Yarrowia lipolytica: one gene and its partner. The protein of the gene in region 1 purifies or fractionates together with the protein of each later gene. This does not show direct contact. Links are inferred from orthologs where the notes say so. Each region holds a gene or a part of one and is shown on either strand. Other genes may lie near its edges.

The links. Proteins that work in one complex are often made in the same cells at the same time.
Region 2: the proteins of YALI1_F14805g (region 1) and YALI1_C07780g purify together in Saccharomyces cerevisiae (affinity purification with mass spectrometry; 4 studies listed by BioGRID). This does not show direct contact. The link is inferred for Yarrowia lipolytica from reciprocal best matches to the Saccharomyces cerevisiae genes SIF2 and HOS2.

The regions. Positions count from the first base shown.
Region 1 is NC_090775.1:1,475,492-1,487,300, reverse strand, and holds YALI1_F14805g (uncharacterized protein), read right to left. Parts: upstream 6,796-11,809; coding exon 4,921-6,795; downstream 1-4,920. Other genes in the region: YALI1_F14882g (uncharacterized protein), read left to right, coding at 1-1,368; YALI1_F14850g (uncharacterized protein), read right to left, coding at 1,451-2,269; YALI1_F14827g (uncharacterized protein), read right to left, coding at 3,335-4,579; YALI1_F14793g (uncharacterized protein), read left to right, coding at 7,950-9,923; YALI1_F14766g (uncharacterized protein), read left to right, coding at 10,645-11,487; YALI1_F14746g (uncharacterized protein), read right to left, coding at 11,761-11,809. UniProt on the Saccharomyces cerevisiae protein: Antagonizes telomeric silencing in yeast. May recruit SIR4 to non-telomeric sites or repression.
Region 2 is NC_090772.1:774,242-784,124, forward strand, and holds YALI1_C07780g (uncharacterized protein), read left to right. Parts: upstream 1-3,780; coding exon 3,781-5,082; downstream 5,083-9,883. Other genes in the region: YALI1_C07721g (uncharacterized protein), read left to right, coding at 1-824; YALI1_C07758g (uncharacterized protein), read right to left, coding at 1,135-1,629; YALI1_C07770g (uncharacterized protein), read right to left, coding at 2,025-2,831; YALI1_C07816g (uncharacterized protein), read left to right, coding at 7,439-9,130; YALI1_C07840g (uncharacterized protein), read right to left, coding at 9,260-9,847.

The DNA.
Region 1 (11,809 bases):
TCGTCCTACTTCCTCGGAGACAAGGACAACGACTCCCTGCAGCGAATCTTTGGTATCTCGTTCCCCGACAAGAAGCTCATGACCGAGCACCTCAAGTTCCTGGAGGAAGCTGCCAAGCGAGACCACCGAAAGATTGGCCGAGAGCAGGAGCTGTTCCTGTTCAACGACATGTCTCCCGGCTCGTGTTTCTGGCTCCCTCACGGCGCTCGAATCTACTCTGCTCTCACCGACCTGCTGCGAAAGGAGTACCGAAAGCGAGGCTACGAGGAGGTCATCACCCCCAACATGTACAACTCCAAGCTGTGGGAGACCTCTGGCCACTGGCAAAACTACAAGGACGATATGTTCACATTTGAGATTGAGAAGGAAAAGTTTGGTCTGAAGCCCATGAACTGTCCCGGCCACTGTCTCATGTTCAAGGCCCGAGACCGATCCTACAAGGAGCTGCCATGGAGGGTTGCCGACTTTGGTGTCATCCACCGAAACGAGGCCTCCGGTGCCCTCACCGGTCTCACCCGAGTCCGACGGTTCCAGCAGGACGATGCCCACATCTTCTGCATGCCCTCGCAGATCCAGTCCGAGATCACCGGTATCTTCGACTTCCTCAAGAAGATTTACACCATCTTTGGCTTTGAGTTCAAGATGAAGCTGTCCACTCGACCCGACAAGTACGTTGGTGAGATCGAGACCTGGAACGACGCCGAAAAGCAGCTCGAGGAGGCCCTCAACAAGTGGGGCGCCAACTGGGAGCTCAACCCCGGAGACGGTGCCTTCTACGGCCCCAAGATTGACATTGTCATCTCCGATGCCCTCCACCGATGGCACCAGTGCGCCACCATCCAGCTCGACTTCCAGCTGCCCAACCGGTTCGACCTCAACTTCAAGAACTCGGCTGCCATGGGCGAGGGAGAGGCCGACTCCGCTGCTTTGTACACCCGACCTGTCATGATCCACCGAGCCATCTACGGCTCGTTTGAGCGAATGACCGCCATTCTGTGTGAGCATTTTGCCGGCAAGTGGCCCTTCTGGCTGTCGCCCCGACAGGTGCTTGTCATCCCTGTTGGCCCCAAGTACAACGACTACGCCCAGGAGGTGCGTGACGAGCTCGTTGATGCCGGTTTCTTTGCCGACGTCGACAACGGCCCCAACACCCTGCAGAAGAAGGTCCGAGAGGCCCAGCTCAAGCAGTACAACTTCACCTTCATTGTCGGAGAGGAGGAGAAGACCGCCAAGTCGGTCAACATCCGAGACCGAGACGACCAGAGCAAGCAGGCCAAGGCCGCTTCCATTCCTCTGGACGAGGTCATTTCGCGACTCCACAAGCTCAAGGACTCTAAGGCTCTCGCCCAGGCTGGCGTTCTTGTCTAATCAATAGATAGGTAATCACGTATGTATTTGCTACGAGTACAAGCACTTGTACTGCTCCAAGTAGTAGAACCGATAGTTTCAGTCAATTTCTCAAATCAACAACCTCCATCCCCGAGGGGAGAAAGTCGAGGACTTCCTTGGTGTAGGTGGTGCCCCAGCTGCAGTTTTTGAACAACAGGTAGACTCCTCCGTGAACCAGAAAGGCAGCGTCGATACGATCAATCTCGTCGAGCACTCGACCTTCAAGAGGAGGACAGCCGGATATCACGGTGAGCTTCTGGTCGGTCACCTCCAGGTCCCCAGCTGGAAAGTAGTCCACGTCAAGGAACATACCAGGCGGAAACCCCAGGCGGTAGGAGACGCCGTTACCACTCCTGATGGGTATCGGACCAATCTTTGTATCTCTCTTTCCAATGCCGTAGAGCCGGAGTTTGGCTGCGCTTCTGCCACACACCAGCACGTGTGTTCCTGGCGGGTTGACGGGAGGGGAGGTGCTGTTTGTGTCCAGACTTTCGACGGAGCGGGCGGGGGACACAACCTCGGCAGGGGTTCCATCACAAGCTGTATTGTCATGTGGGAGTGACATATCATATGCTGTCTTGTCTGCGAACTCAATTGACAGCTGCTCTTGTTCGTAGGGAGGTGCCATCTCGCGGGTAGCAGTCTGGAGGGCCAAGTAGTGATGTTTCTCTCTTGTGCTGGACAGGCTGGCTCTCAGAGCCGTAGATCTCACGTGGAGAGAGTTGAGCTCCAGCTGGTAGTCATGCAACAGCTGCTCCATTATCACCATGGCCTGGCGGCATTTGTGTTTTTGGTCCTCCAGCTCCAGCAGCTGTTTGGTGATAAGTCGCGTCATGTGTGCACAGAGACCGATGTGTAGGAGTAGGTCAATAAAGTGCATGTACTGGCGTGTGTTCTCATATCATGACTTTATAATTTCAGGTGGAGGCGTTTGTGTTCCAATCTAGATAATGTAGAGATGTTTTTTTGACATTGGAAGGTGCATCTTATCGTGCATCTTGCATGCACTGATATGGGACCCTGCGTATTAGCAATGAGGAATACTGTACAAGACGCGGTTGACTGTAAGTGCAAGTGTGCTTGATTATGCACATGTATACAATATGCGGTCCATCTAATTTCCCGTACTAGGGAAGAGGAAGGGCGCATTGGAGCGCACAGATGAGTTTGGCTCACCAATATTACTTGTAGCTCCCCAAAAATGGAGCAATGGACACTGCTGAAATGCTCGGCTTCATAACTGACTTCAGTTTTCTCGAATGGAGACTGGAGTGGATAGTCAAGTAATATCTCCCGTCAGAATGAAAGGAAAGAGACCAAAGGACGGCCAGGGTAGTATCCTGTCGAGGAGTGGGGCGTACAGGCAGTGTCCAGTCGAGGAGCGGGGCGGTACAGTTGTCAGTCAGGAAAGACCACAGGTTGTCTTTGGAACACATAAGACAGCTGGTGGCGGAGTCAGACAAGGGGCTCAGAAAGACCTCCTGGGTATTCTCACCCACTCTCAACTTCAAGTAGAATTCTACCTCGGTCGTCGGGGTGGACAGATGTCGGGGAAGGGGTTATAAATGTGGGCACACCACATGAATATTTGGCAGAGCAGTAAATTCTTCTCACTAAGCCATTATTCTTCAGTAGGTCTCAGATACAGTACAAGTATTGTACGTCTCAGACGTGTTTCTCCACCTGGGTACAAGTAAGAACATGATACTGTCTGAGCTTCATAGGTGAAAGCTGGGACTCTCAGCGAATCATACCATCCAGGAGCGTGTATCGTTGAAAGTTTTTTAAGATGACTCTCTTAGTCCACTTTGTTCCAAAGACACAGTGTTTGATGGCAGAAAGACGCCCTGACACGCCCAAGACAAAATCATCCCGTTCTATAGCCCTGGGTCTACACACTGTGTAAGTTCACCCTGACTGTAGCCTGGAACTTGTATCGTTTTATTCATTCTCTCAGACTTGATATAGCTGCATTGATGACTCGATCGGCATAGTCTCCACTCCATTTCCAGAAACCAAAATGGCCCTCGACTGTCCCCGGAAAGAAGACATCGTCCATATCATAGTTGCGGTCCTCCTTGACTCTATAATTTGTGTAAGTAGCCATATCTGTAGCTTGAGTGGTGGAGGTTTTGCTTCCAAAGAAGCTTTCGCTGCCGTCGTTGCCCTGATGAGTTTCTCCACCATCCGACCATTGGATAATATGCTGAGGCTTGTATCCTGTCTTGTCCAGATGTTCCAGGTCCACCACCAACGGAACCACATGCTCATCAAAAGTGTGCCATAACAGTCCATTGTAGGTGAAGACATCTTCATACCACAAGGTCCATTCGTCGTAGGGCTGCTCAAACTCAGACTTGGCCACAACAACCCGGGTTCGAGCTCCCACATCAAGCCAATAGGTGCAGAAATAGGGATCTTCAACCTGGGTCAAAAACACAGCCTCTCGTGCAACATGAACCTTCATGGTTTCCGCGTTGAACACAAACGCAAACCCGTCCTTGTAGCTCATGCTGGGCTTCCTATCCATCACACATACCCGCTCCTCCAATTCGATGTCATAATAGACCACCATTTGTTTCTTTCCAGAGTAAAAACGAAGAGTTTCTGCCCCCTCAGGAAGCTCAATGGAGCATCCGTGACACTCATACACGTTATTGGTGGCGGTTTCTTCAAACTCCAGAACCCCCTCGTTGGCTATATCCACGTTGGTGGGCTTCACATCCAGTGTATATAGATCCAACATTGCTTGGCGGTTATTGATGTACAAAGATGAGCCGCGAAGAGCCAACAATTGCGGCTCTGCATCGGCAACAGACCGCAGATAAACCGAATCGAAAACAGACTGGTATCCTGGAGGTAAAGTCGTCACTTCCTCGGCTGTCAAATACTCAACTTTGCCAGCCTTGAAGTTTGGAATTCGGTCCAGCAACTCCACATGGTCATACTTGCCGCCATCAATGGCTTTCCGACGGCTCAAAACAACTTTTGCACAAAGAGCCCAAGAGTCCAGACTCGTATTATGTTCTCCAGGAGTCATCCAAGGCACTCTACTTTGCACCTTGCTGGCCAGAACCGACTCAGAACACAGTTCTCGCCACGTGATACACGTGTCTCGAAGGCTGACAGCGGCTGACAAATCACAGTGTCTCAAAATCTCGTTCTGTATCTCAATAGGTATCCGGTTCATGTTGTAGAATGTGTTCAAACTGAGATTAATGCACCAGTACAATATGTATCCATATTGTGAGAGGAATTAAGGTTTTTCAATGAAATTAAAAAAATCGGATATCTTGAAAAGTTGGCCAATAAACCGAAAAAAACCCAACAGAAATGCAGCTGAAGAACAATAATACCACCGCTAGTAACCAATCCCATTTCTGGTATACTTTGATTACTAAACCCCCCACTTTTGACTGTCTCAAACATTCACTTGTGTGCAATTCTTGTCATCAGTTAGCTATTTTACATTATTATACCGTGTCTTATGTTTTCGGGGACCCTTGATTAACCCGTTACCATCCCCTCCTTCTATGCCACCACCTTGGTTTCTCTCATGCCCTCGTTCCACTCCACCACATAACTTTTGCCGCTGGTTCCCACACAGATGACGTCACTCTCGAGATTCCAGCCTATACAATCAATGGGAGCCCCGATCTCCAGGCGCGCCAGAGCTCTTCCGGCGCCCTCCTCGGTGCATTCATTGTCCTCCAGTCCTGCCAGGTCCCACAAGACCAGCACGCCATCCATGCCTCCTGTCGCCAGCCACTTGCGGTCGGGCGAGATTTCCATGGCAAAAATAGCAGATTCATGCAGCGCCAACACCGCCAGGCAACGAGCGTTTTCAGGCAGCCACACACGCGCCGTTCCGTCGAGAGAAGCACTCACCACAAGACTCATGGTGCCAATGTTGGCACCTCCAACAAGATTGGCCGCGTTGAGTAACGGAAGCCATCGTACCACCATGACGGGGGCCGTGTGTCCGAGAAGAGTGGCTGTAGACGCGACCGATCGACCCTGCCATAACCGCACAGAGTGGTCATCTGAAGCCGATGCCAGAAGTAAACCCACGTGATCAAACTGAATATCGTTAATACCTGCCGAGTGGCCCTTGAACACTAGCAGAGGCAGCTTCTCACCAACCCTGCAAACCACAATCGAATGGTTCTCTCCAGTCATGACGAATGTCAATCCATCGATCCAGTCAGCATCAAACCCGGTTGTGATCGACTCAGCAGACTCGTGGCTCTCGTCCTTACCCCCCAGAGCAGCTTGGATATCTCCCACGACCGCTGACACTGCCGAAACAGCTGCCGAAGCAGGAGGAGGAGCCACCGTGAGGCTCAGATGATGTCGCACCTCGCCCGAAGTGGTATCCCACACAACCAGCGTGTTTGTGCAATCGATAGACAGCACCAACGAGCCCGTCTTATTCCATCTGACAGACAAAATCGGAGCTCTGTGCAAACTGAGAATGTGTCGTAGCTTGCCTTGGGCAGTCCATAATCGTAGTTGGCCATCAAACGCAGCTGTCACACAAAGCGTTCCGATTCTGTTCCACGACACTGCAGTAATATCCTTGTCGCCTTGGGGAATCGGCGAATGTGCGAGGTTTGTGGTTGACGCAATTTTGACCATCTTTTTCGTACTGTTGGTATCCTCAGAATCCACATCCATCTCGTCGCCGTGAGTAGGTAGTAAAGTCCCCGCCGTTCCCTCCTCCTCTTCTCCTCCCTTGTTGAGCACCAGTAACGAAGCAACTGGTCCGGCCGCTCCCGTTAATAACACATTCTTGTCAACCGGACTCCACTGGCATTGAGACACAGAACCCACATCCACCGACGGCGTCAACGAGATTATCGGCACCTCCTCGCGCGTCATGTCTTTTTGCGACGTTGCATTCTGTGTATCTTGTGTATTGGTTGCCCTGTCTGTCATGGTAGCAGCCACTACCTTCTTTATGTTGTTGTTGTTTGCCGGTGCTGTTAACGTTGGAGCCGTGGTAGGCAATCCAGGATCGATTTTAGTCACGGCCACATTTGCACCTGCGGTAATGTCGGACGGAGCAGCTAGCAACGCCGTGGCTGCGCCCTTCAAAGCGTTAGTCTGCTCCTCCTCAATCTCTGGCGTCCCACTGCGCACGTAGTCGTTCCCAAACAGCGAAAACGGCTTGTCGTCCGAGTCCACAATCGTGCCATCCTCCTTGACGCTGGCCTCCACCTCCATGAACTGGATTCCTTTCTGTGCCACATTGACTAGCGCTCCCAGAGGAATGCGGTTAGAGAAATGCTTGTCCAAATGATGGACGCCCGCCTCGCGCTGAAACGCATATGTTGTATGTTCGAAACCCGCCTCCTGCAGATACCGCCACACCAGGTAGTTTAGCTCGTCCGATGTGATTGACATGAGTGGTGTTTTGGGGGGTCTGGCAAAGTGGTGATGTTAAAAGTGGTGATGTTTTGTTGCACTGTAACGTTAAGGTTGGGAGGTTGGGGGGGGAGGGGGGATTTTGACGACACTTGTAAAATGCGCTGTAGAAGAGTGGAAGACATGGAAAGTGTTTACAAATGCTCCTTGGATCCATGGTTACAAAATGATATGCGAACATTACCATTTTACCCTCTCCTTCCACTGCCAAAGACACCTTCCATTACTCTGCACATAATATCACAATAGACGAGCGCGAAGCTTATTTCAAAGTAGCGAAAATACTCTCGGATCAACTCGTCTTTCCGAGGAAGCATTCAGTTGGGTATGGAGAGTGTTTTGGGTGATTGCGGATCCAGAAACTGAGTATTTGCGTCATTTGGTATCGATTGAACTTGGTCCGAAGATCATAGCTCCATCACAGCACGAGCTATCCAAATGACATGTTTCACCTTGTTTCAGCTGGGGTTTTATGGGGAAGGAGGTTGGGGAAAATTCGGGGTAAAATGGATAAAAAAACGAATTGACAAATTAAAAATTGTGGTAAATCTATGTCGACGGGAATGGAGCGACTGAGCTCTTCGTGGCCGTCATCAAAGTAAATAATGGCCGAGTTATACACGACGATCATCGGCGTATAGAGTTCAGGGTGTCGAGTGACACCATGTCGTAATACGTGGCATTACAGTCACTAGAAGAGGTTGAAAAAGGTGCTTGGAACCTTTTCAGGTGAAAAGAAGACATCTAAATGTCCCACAACCGTCAACATCAACTTTCTGGCTGGTAATGGTCGTTCTTCAAAAACTTCCAATTACTTAAAACTCTAACTAACGTTCTTAACTAAGGTTTAACGGGGTGCACGGTGAAACATGAAACGACATAGGGGCGGGCTATTTGTGGAGAGTGACGATTTTTTTTATTTTTTTTTGTTTTCACTTTTTTTTTTGCAGCAGATTTCGATCTCGTCGCCAACCGTCTGTTTTCCCACACTCAGGTCATCCACATAGCCACCCCTTAGGGTCTGACTAAGCACTCCAGGTTTAATAACTCCGAGGTGCTTAAACACGCATGTCCAAGTTGCGTCCTCCACTCAACCCAACATCCGCACTTGTACACGACACAAGACTCACGCCATGTCGCTGGAGCCTCCGAACCAATCGCTACGGTCGCACAGACAGACGGCCAACCCGCACGTGATGGCCGCGGCGGTCCAGAAGCAGAAGCCGTACATACAAGACAGCACACATCTCCAACTGCCCAATGTCGGCGATAAGGACCGAGAAAGGGTTGGAAACATGGTGAAGCGGCGGTTCAGCGCCCGTATCCCAGGTCAGGGCGTGCCCTATGACGCGGCAGCGGCGCCGAGCTTGCCCGTGGGTGCTGGGAGCATGATTGACGACGCTGTTGCTGCTGGAGGAGTTCCGGTGACAAAAAGCAAAACGATGACTTCTCCGGCCAAGGCGGCCCCCGTGGCCTCGGGCGCTTCAGGAATGCTGCTCAAGGAGGATCTGGACGCGCACACGTTTGTCACGCAGCAATTGGCCACCTCCAACGCTGAGGAGGTCGACCGGTTCGTGTCGAAACTCAAGAGTCTCAAATCGAGGCTCGTGGACGAACAGCGAGAGGCCATGTACACAAACTACAACTCGTTTCTGACCGTAAACAAAGAGATTCTGGCGCTCAACTCCGAGGTCAAGTCCTTGGGCCAGGCCGTCAGCAACTTCAACGTTGCGGTGTCCGCCATGGTGGAGGACGCTCTGGAATCCACCTCCAGTAAGTCGCAGGAATCGTCGCAATCGTCGCTGGCGCTGCCCGACTCGTCGGCCCGAAACAGAAACTCCATGGTCATGTTGGAAAACATGTGGGCCAACGAACTGGCGTCGCTGTTCAAACATGTAGAGGGAGCCGTCAAGTACTTGCCTGCTATTCCTGGAAGACACGTGGTGGCCGAGTCGGGCGCATGGTACCAGCTCAACGCCGCCACCTGGAAACCCCTGCGACCTGTGCACATGTTTCTGCTGAACGACCATTTGCTGATTGCAGCCAAGAACAGAAAAAAGGATAACATGCAGATGCAGCAGACCCAGACTCTTGTGGCGGACCAGTGTTGGCCGCTCAGCGACATTGAGTTTCTGGATCTCTCCGTTTCTCGCCGAGGAACCCATCCCGTGGTCCCCAATGCAGTTTCTGTCGTCTGCGGAGGAGTCACCTGCGTCTACCAGACGGAAAAGCCCGCCCAGCACGCCAAGGTTGTTTCGGCTTTCAAAAAGGTGGCTGGCGAAGGCAGAAAGAACGACACCAACAAGACCCAGCAGCAAATTCGGCTCAGAGAAAGTATGACGTACTATGCTGCTCGAAACCCGTCTCTTCGGGGTCACAAAGAGCTGTTACAGGGGCTCAGCAACTCCAAGGGCCACTCGAGGTCTTCATCGGTCGACATCACCGGCCGAACGAAAAATCTGCGAGAGATTGACGACCTGGTCAACGATCTGGACGTGAAAATCGCACACAGGCGGTTTGCCGAAGCCACCGACATCATTTTGGAAAACATCAAGGACGACAAGGAGAGCACCGACATTACACAGCAGGTGCTCGACATCAAACTGCATCAGCGTCAGGACGAGTTGGTGGCTCATCTCATTGATGATGTGGCTACAGACACATCCAACACTGCCGTCACACACGCTCTGGGTCTGCTGGTGCGTTTAGGACACGGAGACCAGGCCCGGGGAGTCTACCTGGAAACTCGAAGAAACCTCATTCACAAGCGAACTCGTCAGGTTGAGTTGCTGGGCGACATTCCTGGATATATTGCTCAGGTGGCAGTCACGTATTTCCGGTTGATCCGATCCACAGCCGAGGTGTTCCGAAAGTGCTACACAGACAACCATTTGGCGTCCAGTATTGCCGAGTGGGCCAAGAGCATGGTGGAGGAATTTGTGCTGCTGTTTGCTCGACAGCTGTATGGAGTGAAGCCCGACACTCAAACGTATCAACAGTGTGTCTCTATTACTAGACAGCAGGCTGCGCAATTGAGCGAGGTGGGTTTGAATCTGGACTACTTGCTGGATTACGTCTTGAGCCCAGCTCGAGCTAGCAAGGCATAGGCATGTAAGTACTGTATTTTTTATTAACGAAGATGGGGATGGAGATGGGACAAGGAGGAAGGAGGATCAGCGCAAGTCTGGGGACCGTATCAAGGGCCTGTTGACAAATCAAATGCCACAGCCAGTCTCTCCACGGCTTCAGCTTCAAAATGGACCCTTCGGATGTTCTATAGGTATTGTGATGGTGTTTCTTGGAAACGGTGTATGAGACTCTTACTAAGCAAACGACCTCGAGAGATGTTGCAATTTTGCTAAAAGTAGATCTGGTCGAGAAGCGGGTCACTAGACTTCAATAACTGTCTCTATTGGGCACTAGTTTAACGCCTTCTGCCTTACACATTGGTACATGTCAGACGTCTCAGTAATCTGATGCCTGATGTTTGATGATGCACAAGATCGAGGCGTGCTGTAAAAGTACTGTGTTGGACCTATTGCACACGGTATCACCTTGAGTTTGGTTGCTGTTTTTTTTTTGTCTTTTTTTACACAGTGGACTAAAAATGTCTATTTCTCTCACGTGAATTGATCGTATTTCTTCCCTTTTTATTCATTTAATGACGAATTTGTTTCTCGCCGGCCTGTATTCATTTCTGGAAGGTTCTGGGGGCGCCTCGTGCCTTTAACTTTATGACAATGTCTGATATAAGTAAAGCTGCAGGAAGAGGAAAAATATCTTGATCCGGAACGCAACAAGTTACGAAAATACTCAACACGACAAAAAATGGACAAATTACTAGCATGGTCGGTTAAGCAGCAACAGGAGGGCACCAACGAGCCTCCACCAGACCCCAAGCTGCTGGCGCAGCTGTTTGGGGCGCCCGACGATGCCCAGCTCATGGTGCAGGCCATGGTGGTCATCACCCAGCCCGATAACAAGCTGGAAGACAAGGAGGTGGCGTTTGACAACTTTGAGATGCTGGTGGAGAACCTCGATAATGCCAACATGATGAAGAACCTAAAGCTGTGGGAGCCTCTGCTGGCGCAATTGAGCTCTCCTCACCCTTCTCTGCAGAAGCTGGCTGCCTGGGTGGTTGCTACTGCGACCCAGAACAACCCCAAATCGCAGGAGGCTCTTGTTGAACAAGGCGATGCCGGAATCAAGAAGCTGGTCGACCTGACTAGCCACGACGACCCCGAGGTAGTGGTCAAGTCGCTGTTTGCTCTGGCGTCTGCCATCCGAAACTGCGACGACGCATACAAGCTGTTTGAGTCTGCTGACGGTCTGAAGAAGGTCGTGGGCCACCTCAAGCCCGACGCGACCGCCCAGGTCAAGTCCAAGACCCTTGGAGTTCTCACAGGCATTCTGGAGTCCGAGACCGACCTCATGAAGCCCGAGGAGAAGAGACAGGTGTTCGATATCCTCGTCAAGGAGCTCGAGACCGACGACCACATTCCCTCGCTGGAACGATCTCTGCACGTGCTGGTGCTGCTCAACCAGAAGGGTTTCCCTTTCACCCCCGAGGAGACTGAGCAGGTCAAGAAGGCTGCCAAGAGGGTTGAGGGTAAACTTGACGAAGAGGATGTCAAGTACAATGAGGACTTGAAGTATGTCAACAACCTCTAGAAAGCCCGTGGTCGTTCGTCAGCAGCGGGCACACATCTAAATAAGACATGATTTATAGACGTAATGATTTAATTATATGAACATCAATGATACAAGGGAGTGGAGTGACTAAAGTCAGCTCAATGGCAAAACAATGATTTTACACCCAGCGACGGACGATTACATCTCCGGCTGCTTTCTTCTCTCTCTTCTCTCTCTCTCTCTCTCTCTCTCTCTCTCTCTTTTCAGATCTAGTTCATTATATACATGTCGATGGTCGTTTGGTTCCAAGGACTACTTCCACTTCTTCTCGCTCTCGGAGAAATCGTCGGTGGACTTGTAT
Region 2 (9,883 bases), on another chromosome or scaffold:
ATTTGCATCCCCGCATGAACATTCCCAATCTCGGATTATCTATTGGAGAGTTCCCTCCCGATTTCCTCAACGCCTTCTCCGTGACTTTGCCCCAGCAACAACAAGCTCTTTCCGATGCCCTTTCTCTTTCGGCTCTTCACATCTACCATCTTGGATCGATAGTGTTGCATCTTTCGCCGCACGATTTCCAGATCTTTGCTGGCGTGCCTCGAATGTTGACAGTGAAAATGCGTCAAGCGCAGTACGACGCTACTAACGCTCGTATGCACGAATGGGCACGTACCGAGCCTGGCAGTATTGCTGTTTGGCATGCTATTCGGATTCTCCGAGATGTCTTCCTGGACGGACCTAACGAGCTCACGTACAAGGGACATCTTGATCCTGTGATTCAGCGACCTCACAGTGTAACCATGGCTGCCCTGGCTCTCTGGGCGTTTGTGTTTGTCAACTCTGGATGTGAGGATCATGCCATGGCGTTGTACAAAGATCCCAATGTTCGGCTGACGGCCGAGAAGGGCAAGATCACCGAGTGGGGCTCAGAGATGCTCACGCGCAGCGAGGAGCGGCCCATCAACAGCTATGTGCCCAAGGAGGATGGCTACGAGTATTTGAAGCGGCTGTCGGGTCTGTCTCCTGTTGAGATCCGAACAGCCCCGAACCTGCAGAACATCATTGGTCTGTTGCAGGTGATTTGGAAGGCTATTGAAAAGGTGCAATGGGAGATTCTGCAGGAGCTGAGTCGGCTGCTTCAGCATTGTATGGAGCGAAGCCGGGGCAAGCAGCAGCAAAAGTGCGACTTTATGGTCGTTTGGAGATCCAGATAGGATAGTAATGTATAATAATAGACGATGTGGGCACCAGCGCGAGATATAGAATCGAAGCAAAAGGCTTATGGTGAAGGAGTACTTATCCACTGGAAAGTACATACAGTAGTACATTGATTGATCTACTGACGTTGTATAGATATATGCTGTTAACTGAGGGCATTTCTGTGTATACATACATACTGCAGTCCTACAGTATTGGAGCAGAGGTCTACCTCTTCCCCCTACCCCCTTCAGTTATTTGTACATATTCTATCATGGATCTGTTTCTCTATTATTTATGTTCTCCGGACGCCCATCTATGTCCTTCTCATTCAACGTCGAAATCGATCTCCGCGGAGTCTCCTGCGGCGTAGTCAAACAGGTCCTGGAGAGGCTCGAGTCTGGATTCGTTGGCAGCTCTCTGGTTGGCAATGTGGCGTTTGAGCGATGCAGAGATGAGGGTCTTTGCTCTCTGAAGCTGTTCGTTCATGTTGTGGAGCTCGCTATTGAGCTTCTGCATCCGTTGGAGCTCGTTAGTCAGTTCCTCCACCTCCTGCTCACGCATCTTGAGCTCGTTGAACAAGGTGATGACACCTGCTCGGAAGGCGAGGTCTTCGGCCGCGTCACAAATGACAGCCGAGACGGGACGGAGACGCGGATTGTCCTCGCAGGCCTCCTTGAGAGCCAGAAAGGGGTCCTGCTTGGTGGGAGGCGTGTTGGTGATCATTTGTGGGCTAGCTAGATAAGTGTTTAGTTGAGACAAAGAAGAAGCTATTTGTTTTGTTGTCATAAATATAGAGTTACTGGGACAACTATTTGACATACTCAGAGGTGCAGTACTGTAGATAACGCGAGAGAGAGAGAACCCGACAGACAGATGAGATGACGCGTATTGTACTTGTAAAACACAACCAATGAGCTATACAATAGTCTTGAGAACGACCCAGATTCACTTGGATGTAATTCTTAGATTTCCCACTCAACAGTGTTCGTCTTCCTTACCATTATCTTCTGTGAACAAAACCATCCTGTATGAACAGTTACAGTAAAACGAGTACACACACAAATCCACCCCTATGTTCCTTCCACTGTCCATTTTCATATCAATATATTTATTCCTTCTCTAATTGGCCTCAATGAGGGATGTTAATAGAATCATCATGCTAAAACCATCACCACGCCATCTTCTCAGTGTACCATATTCTCATCTCTTCGGTATTAATCCTGCTCGGCGATAGCCACCAGCCGCTCGTCAATCTCCTCCACAGTCAACTTTCTAAATCCGTCCTTTGTAGCCACACCAATCTCAATGTCATTCTTCTTGAAGTCCACAGACAGAGCAGTGGAAAGAGCGGAAATGGCGGTTTCGGTTACCTCGTTGACATCTCCAGCAGCATACTCCTTCTTCTTGAGCTTCTTTTCCAGGAAGTTGTTAGCCTCCTGCTGCTTGGGACCCGATGCAGTGGCCTTGTATCCCACGTAGTAGCCGGCAGGGTCGCACTTGTACAGCTCAGGTCCCCGCTCGTCGTCAATGGCAATCAGCGTCATGATCACGCCCAGCGGTCGCATGTATGCTCTCTGAGTGTACACCTGGTTGATGTTGGCCATTCGCTTGGCCAGCATATCGCAGGGCATGTCGTATCCGTACTTATATCGGAACTCTGCGGCCTCTCCTCGGGCTCGTTGGACAGCTGCACGAGCGTCGGGAATCTGGCCAGTCAGCACTGCTCCGATGCTAGGAGAGATTCGGAAAATGTACGACACGGTGGAAGGGTCCAACAGCTTGTCGGAGATTTTCTTTTGCGAAACGACAACCGCGCAGTCCTTGCCTCGGATGCCCAGCGACGTGATGTTGGCAGAGTTGCATGCTTTGAAGGCGTACTCGACCTGGTACAGTCGGCCCTCAGGCGAAAAGATGGTAATGTGGCGATCGAATCCAGCAGAGCCTGTGTTAGCGATATCCGAATAGTCGGCGGCGCAATCGAGTCGCGTGATCCGTCTTGTCCCCATTGGCGACCGATCCATCGCTCAATACTTACCTGACATTTTCCTGTTGTGTGGTTCTGGGTGGCAATGAAGAGTACTGTAACCACCGTGAGCATGATGTATGTGGCGATGCGGGAGAGTAGGGTTAGGGTTAGGAGGGAACCACCCTGAGAGCGATAGTTGGGGTTTAGTTGGGAGTTCAGTTGAATGTGGAGGAGAGGTGAGTTGGTGGTGTTTGGAGGGTTACGGAGCTCAAAAAAAGTCGATTGGGGAGGTCTGAGTGGATGATACTATTATTCATATAGACTGAGACTCCTGTGAGGGTATTTGGTGCCTTACTTTGAGTGTTATGTTGAGCTGACCTCGGTTAAACAGGTAAACTAATCTCAAACTTGAGGTTCTGAAAACGGAAATTTATAAGGGACGTTTCCATCGTGTTGGAGGTGTTTGATCAAGCTAGTGATTTTTCCAGTCGTTCAAATGTAGCTTTAATAATGGTTTTCCGGAATTTTTATATTTCTGACGTCTCTATACCCTCCGTTATATTGACTCTTTTGAGACTACTGTATGTACAGTATGTACTTGTAGATGTTAGCTGTGTATAGTGGTAAGGAGGTAGAGACATGGCAGTGGGTATTGGGTCAGGTGCTACATGATGAGAGAAAATTACTTGCTCAATAAAGTAAGCCATGGTCAGATAATGGCCAACATTAGAGAAAAAGATATGCTCACAAGCCATTTTTCCCGACTTTTCGCCACCTTTTCTATCTGTCCTAGAATTTCACCCTACCAATAAAGTTTCTTATATGCACAATTAATTCACCTCCATCACCCATCTCCAGTGCACTAAACAATATACGACAGAAAAAAAAAAGCACATAATACGGGATTTATCGGCAGAGACGCGGCACAAGTGACACCAAAATCAACGCGACACCGTCACAAACACAACACATAGCATCACATCACATTCCACTTCTCTACAGTCATGTCAGAACCAACCATCGTGTTTGACTCCAAGACGGTGGAAAACACGCCTCTCTACGAGTCGTTTCTGACGACACAAAAACGCCGCGTGTCGTACCATTTCAACGAGGAGGCTGCGCGATACCATTATGGAGTCCGTCACCCCATGAAACCGTTTCGACTCATGCTGACAGACCATCTGGTGCTGGGATACAAGCTACACAACAAACTGGACTTGTACAGATCCCGAAGAGCCACAGAAACAGAGGTGCGGGAGTTCCACGCCGAAGAGTACATTGATTTCTTGCAACGTGTCACTCCGGATAACATCAAAAAGTTCCAGCGAGTTTTACCCAAGTTTAACATTGGAGACGATTGTCCCATTTTCGACGGCATGTACGACTACTCGATCATTTACGCAGGTAGCAGTTTGGACGCGAGTCGAAAGCTTCTTGCTGGCCAGTCAGATATCGCCATCAACTGGTCTGGAGGTCTGCATCATGCGAAAAAGTTTGAAGCCAGTGGATTCTGTTATGTGAACGACATTGTGTTGGCGATTCTGAACCTTCTCAGAATGTATCCACGTGTTCTTTACATTGATATCGACATTCACCACGGAGACGGAGTGCAGGAGGCGTTCTATTCGACCGACCGAGTCATGACTCTGTCGTTCCACAAGTATAACGGAGAGTTCTTCCCTGGTACGGGAAACTTTGACGAGATTGGAACTAGTCTGGGCAAGAACTACTCACTCAACGTGCCGCTACGAGACGGAATCGACGACGAGTCGTACGTGCGGCTGTTCAAGAGTGTTTTAGAGCCTGTTCTCAACAGTTACAGACCCTCGGCTATTGTGCTTCAATGTGGAGCTGATTCGCTTGGTGGAGATCGTTTGGGATGTTTCAATCTCAACATCAAGGCCCATGGAGAGTGCGTTGCATATACAAAGTCGTTTGGCCTGCCTCTGATTGTGCTTGGAGGAGGAGGATACACCCCTCGCAACGTGTCTCGATTGTGGTGTTATGAGACCAGTGTGTGTCTGGACGTTGATCTGGAGACTCGGTTGCCTTCTTCCATGCCTTTTCTCAAGTATTTTGCTCCAGATTACTCGTTGCATCCCAACCTGGCTGGTAAGATCGACAACAAGAACTCCCGCAAGTTTCTGGATTCTGTGCATGTGCAGGTGATGGAACAGCTGAGAACTTTGCAGGGAGCCCCCAGTGTTCAGATGGCTGAAATTCCGCCGGACCTGGCCGGTCTGACTGAGGAGGGAGAAAAGCAGCGACGAGATGAGCTTGACGAGGCGATGAAGGATGCGAGGTAGTCGGGCATGGAGCACATTATATTTATTGTAAATAGGCAGGGAGTCGAAAGGCTCGTAATCAACTAATGATGATATTGGGGGCACAGAAACGACTTCAAGTACCACTATCGATAGTTGACGCATTTACTTGAGACGGACGACGGATACTCGTACAAAACTGGACATTGTTCAACACACCAGATATGATCGTTTGTCTCCTTAGAGGTATGCTTACGCGCTACACTTAGACTTGCAGGGTTATGCTTATTGGAGGCTCAAAAATGGGCTGATGAAAAGTATTGCAACTGTATCTGGATGTATGTTGCATTATCGACCGTGGCATTTGCCAGAATGGGAGTGAGACGGGAGCACGGGCTTTTTCGGACGTGTGACGGCGTGCGTTGTTTCAGATTTATTTGATAAGATCGGCGTGAGAATTTTGCGCTGCTGAGTATGGTGGTATTCGGCCGGCTCGTGGATTAGGAGAGGGCCACCAGGTGCTAGTGTGTTGGATAGTGGTCTGTTTTCTATGTACATACAGTTCAATTGAGTGATTTCTTTTTCAGTCTTGTTGAGCTGCTACTTTACTCGTATCGTACTTGTAGCATCACCAGTCGTTTTGGATGAGCGATTAAGTTGATCTGATAACTGCGAGCTGTGCTTGAGTTGCCTGAATGGACAAGATTTCCAAGTGCATTAATTGGTTTGTGGACGAATGGCAATCTTGATAATCGCCCTGCGAGGAGACTTGATTCGCAGAGACGGCGACAGTGAGACATCTCAGACATGACTCTTTGCTTTCTGACGGTGACGGTGGCTCCAGTAGCTACTTGTAGCTAGTTACGGTATCGATCTAGACTCAATTGGCTCACTGACACAAGTATGGCAGTCCACCACATTCCGGCCCATTAATACGACATAAACGCCTGCCTACAAACACTCTGGACCACCTTTCAATTAGTCACCCATCTTCTCAGCCGCTTGTCATTTTCCGATGACGCACTTTTGGCATCGTTTGGCCGCACGCACTGTACGTACAGTACAGTAAATTACAGTATAACCGAGTCTGGAGGTGTGAAGATCTCGGCTTTGGCGGGTTGGAGATGGGTATGAAAAATGGTTGATCCATCGATAGCCGCAGATTGCACCAGTATCTGTATAAAAATACCTCTGAAAACGGTTCTTTTGCAGACGTTAGTTGGTCCAGTGATGCTCCAGTCCATCTTCGGGTCTAGACCGCCGACCTCGGTAAACGCTAGAGTTTCTGCCACTGTGGCTAGGGTTACCTTGAGGTGGCGCGGAAGCACGGAACTGTTCGGAGCGGCGAAGTTTATGAGGGAGATTTGTGAGAAATGGGGGTGACGATATCTCTGGTATCAGCTCGAAAGTAGCGGTTGATGGGTTGGAAAGAGGGTGAATATACGGGCAGAATTCGCACGAGTCCATTGCAACATTTTGCGTCGTCTCATTGCATCCGTCATCGTCACGGCATGCAATAAAAACATGGAATCAGGGGCACGCAGGGAAAAAAAAAAAAAAAAAAAAAAACCAAACAAACACTGAAAAACACTGAAAAACACTGAAAAGTGTGAAAACTGGGAGAAAAAAATACACTGAAGAGCTGCAAAGAGCTGCAAACAACTGCACAAATGCTACAAGTAGTGGATGGAGCGTTGAAGAGAATCTGTTGCCATGTACAATGACGACCGGGGCCCCTTATCCGGTCATCCCTCGTGGAACATTGCTAAACAGCAATATACCTTGGGCCTGATTGTCACACCTTTCTCGGGTTTGGCTTACGTTACTGGCAACTGGCTCTCATCCAGGTCCTCATCACATGCTTGTGGGGTTAGAGTTGTGGGGAGGGCGGTTGAGTAGCAGAGTTTGGAGGTGGAACGTGGCCAATGAGAAAGCTTACAATGTGAGTAATAATAGGGAATAAGCAGCAGCATCGGCAACAGCGTAGATGTGAGCTATCTGTAAGCCGTGCCAGGCTAGAGGTGCTACAAGTAGTGGGAGGTAGTCTGGTGTTTCTCGAGATACTGTCGTTCAAGTATCTGTTACAATGGCTCTCTCTATCTCGTCACGTGAACACCATATATACATGCCCTCTCGTGGTCCAGCAGCGATGACACTACCCGGTCGTCTGTTCGTTTGCGCGGTTGCCACGAGGAAGGGCCAAATAACCTCAATTACTAACAATGCACGTCATTGGTGACTTTTTTAGTTGGGACAATGATGGTGACGGAGCAGAGTGTGGAAATCACAAAAATAAGGTTTCGCAGCAGCACAGAAAAAGGGCCCAAATTTTACCTCACCCTCCTTCTCATCACCCAACCCAAACGTCCCAGACGACCCCAGACCAGTCTCGACAACCATGGAATCTCTCGTTCGACAGTCCAAAAAGCTCTGCCCCTACATTGGTCGAACCTCGGCTTCCAGCCTCAAGCAGCTCGGAAACGGGCGACTGACCCAGAAGGCAGGCCAATGCCCCATCATGGGCAAGGCCATGGGAGTGCGTGGCTTCAAGTCCGACGCCGGATCCAACGCCGAGTCCGCCACCGTTGACGTCCATGCCGCCGTGGACACCTCCAAGGGCACCTGCCCCCACGCGGCCCAGTACTCGCCCGTCTACCCTTCGTCTCGGCTCGACAACTACCCGTTCGGAATGACCCAGCGAGGCCTCGGAAAGGTGCCCACCCAGGACGCCCACAATGCCACCACCTTCAACTACGAGTCCTTCTACGAGAACAAAATCAACGCCAAGCACCAGGACAAGTCATACCGGTACTTCAACAACATCAACCGACTGGCCGCCGAGTTCCCCCGAGCCCACAGAGGCTCCATTGAGGAGGACAAGGTGACCGTCTGGTGCGCAAACGACTACCTCGGCATGGGCCGAAACCCCGTCGTCGTCGACGCCATGCACGAGACTCTGGACAAGTACGGAGCCGGCGCTGGTGGAACCCGGAACATTGCTGGCCACAACCGACATGCCGTCGAGCTCGAGGCCGCTATCGCCGACCTCCACAAGAAGGAGGCTGCTCTGGTCTTCTCCTCGTGCTACGTCGCCAACGACTCCACCCTGTCGTTGCTCGGCCAGGCTCTCCCCAACTGCGTCTACTTCTCCGACGCTTCTAACCACGCCTCCATGATCCACGGAATCCGACACGGAGGGTCCGAGAAGGTTGTGTGGAAGCACAACGACCTCGCTGATCTGGAAGCCAAGCTCGCTCGATACCCCAAGAGCACTCCCAAGGTGATTGCATTTGAGTCCGTCTACTCCATGTGTGGTTCCATTGGCCCTATTGAGGAGATTTGTGACCTGGCCGACAAGTACGGCGCCATCACGTTCCTCGACGAGGTCCACGCCGTTGGTATGTACGGCCCCACCGGTGCCGGTGTTGCCGAGCACCTCGACTTTGAGCACTACCACTCTGGTGCTCAGACCCAGCGACAGCCCATCATGGACCGAGTGGATATCTTCACCGGAACCCTCGGAAAGGCTTACGGATGTGTTGGTGGCTACATTGCTGGCTCTGCCAAGTTTGTTGACATGGTTCGATCTTATGCTCCCGGTTTCATCTTCACCACCACTCTTCCCCCTGCCACCATGGCCGGTGCTCGAGCTGCTATCAACTACCAGAAGGCTACCATGAAGGACCGAGTTGCCCAGCAGACTCACACTCGATACGTCAAGGACAAGCTGGCCAACCGAGGAATTCCCGTTGTTCCTAACCCCTCTCACATCGTGCCTGTTCTTGTTGGTGACGCCCAGAAGGCAAAGGCCGCCTCCGATCTTCTGCTGACCAAGCACCAGATCTATGTGCAGGCTATCAACTTCCCCACTGTTCCTATTGGCCAGGAGCGACTGCGTGTGACCCCCACCCCCGGTCACCATGAGGGACTCTGTGACGAGCTGGTTGCTGCCCTGGAAGACGTGTGGCAGGAGCTTGATCTTAAGCGAGTTGAGGACTGGACTGCCGAGGGCGGTCTGTGTGGCGTTGGCGAGGGTGTTGAGGTTGAGCCTCTGTGGAGCGAGGAGCAGCTGTCTTACGGACGAGACTAAGTCTGTGCTCGCTTCATGAACAATGAGAGTGTGTGCTTTGACTAGTTTCGCACTCTCACTTTACTTCACACACCCAAAGTGCACTTCAAATTAGTGCGGTGCACTCGAACTCCCCACAAAATCAACTCTTCAAAAACAAAACATGTAATTGTAAAGCATTTGGCTGGACGCCAGTGGTTTAGAACCAAACGAGCGTAGATGGTGGAGCGACGAACTTGTAGGGCATGCTGCGACGTGAGTCGTTCCTGACACGTGAGCCGTTCCTGAGTGAGTCGTCCCTGAGTCGTGCGTGTGTGAAGCTTTTTGAATATCCGGCATCAGCCTGAACTCAGTGAGTCGAAAAAGACGGCAAAAAGACAGCGGGGGCTTGACAGCGTGAGTAAAGTACCAGTACAGTAGGATGTGGCTGGTGAATGATGCACTCGTGCTATACAGGTATGAGTACAGCTGTGTGTGTTCACTGGTGCTTTCCAAGTGAGTCTTCTTCTGGACTCGTCCACCGAGTTTCACCTGATCGTGTCGCGATGGAGTATGAGTCGCGATGTGTATGAGTCGCGATGTGTATGAGTCGCGATGTGTATGAGTCGCGTTGAGTAGTCTGGAACTAATATCTGAAACTGGTTTGGGACATGTCTTGGAAGTTTGGCTGGGTGGAGGATGGCTGAGTGTATTGAGAGTGGCTGAGACGTCGTGTTCGTAGTGAGATTGAGATGGCATGGTGTCTTCTTCACCAACGGCGTATTCGTTCCGATA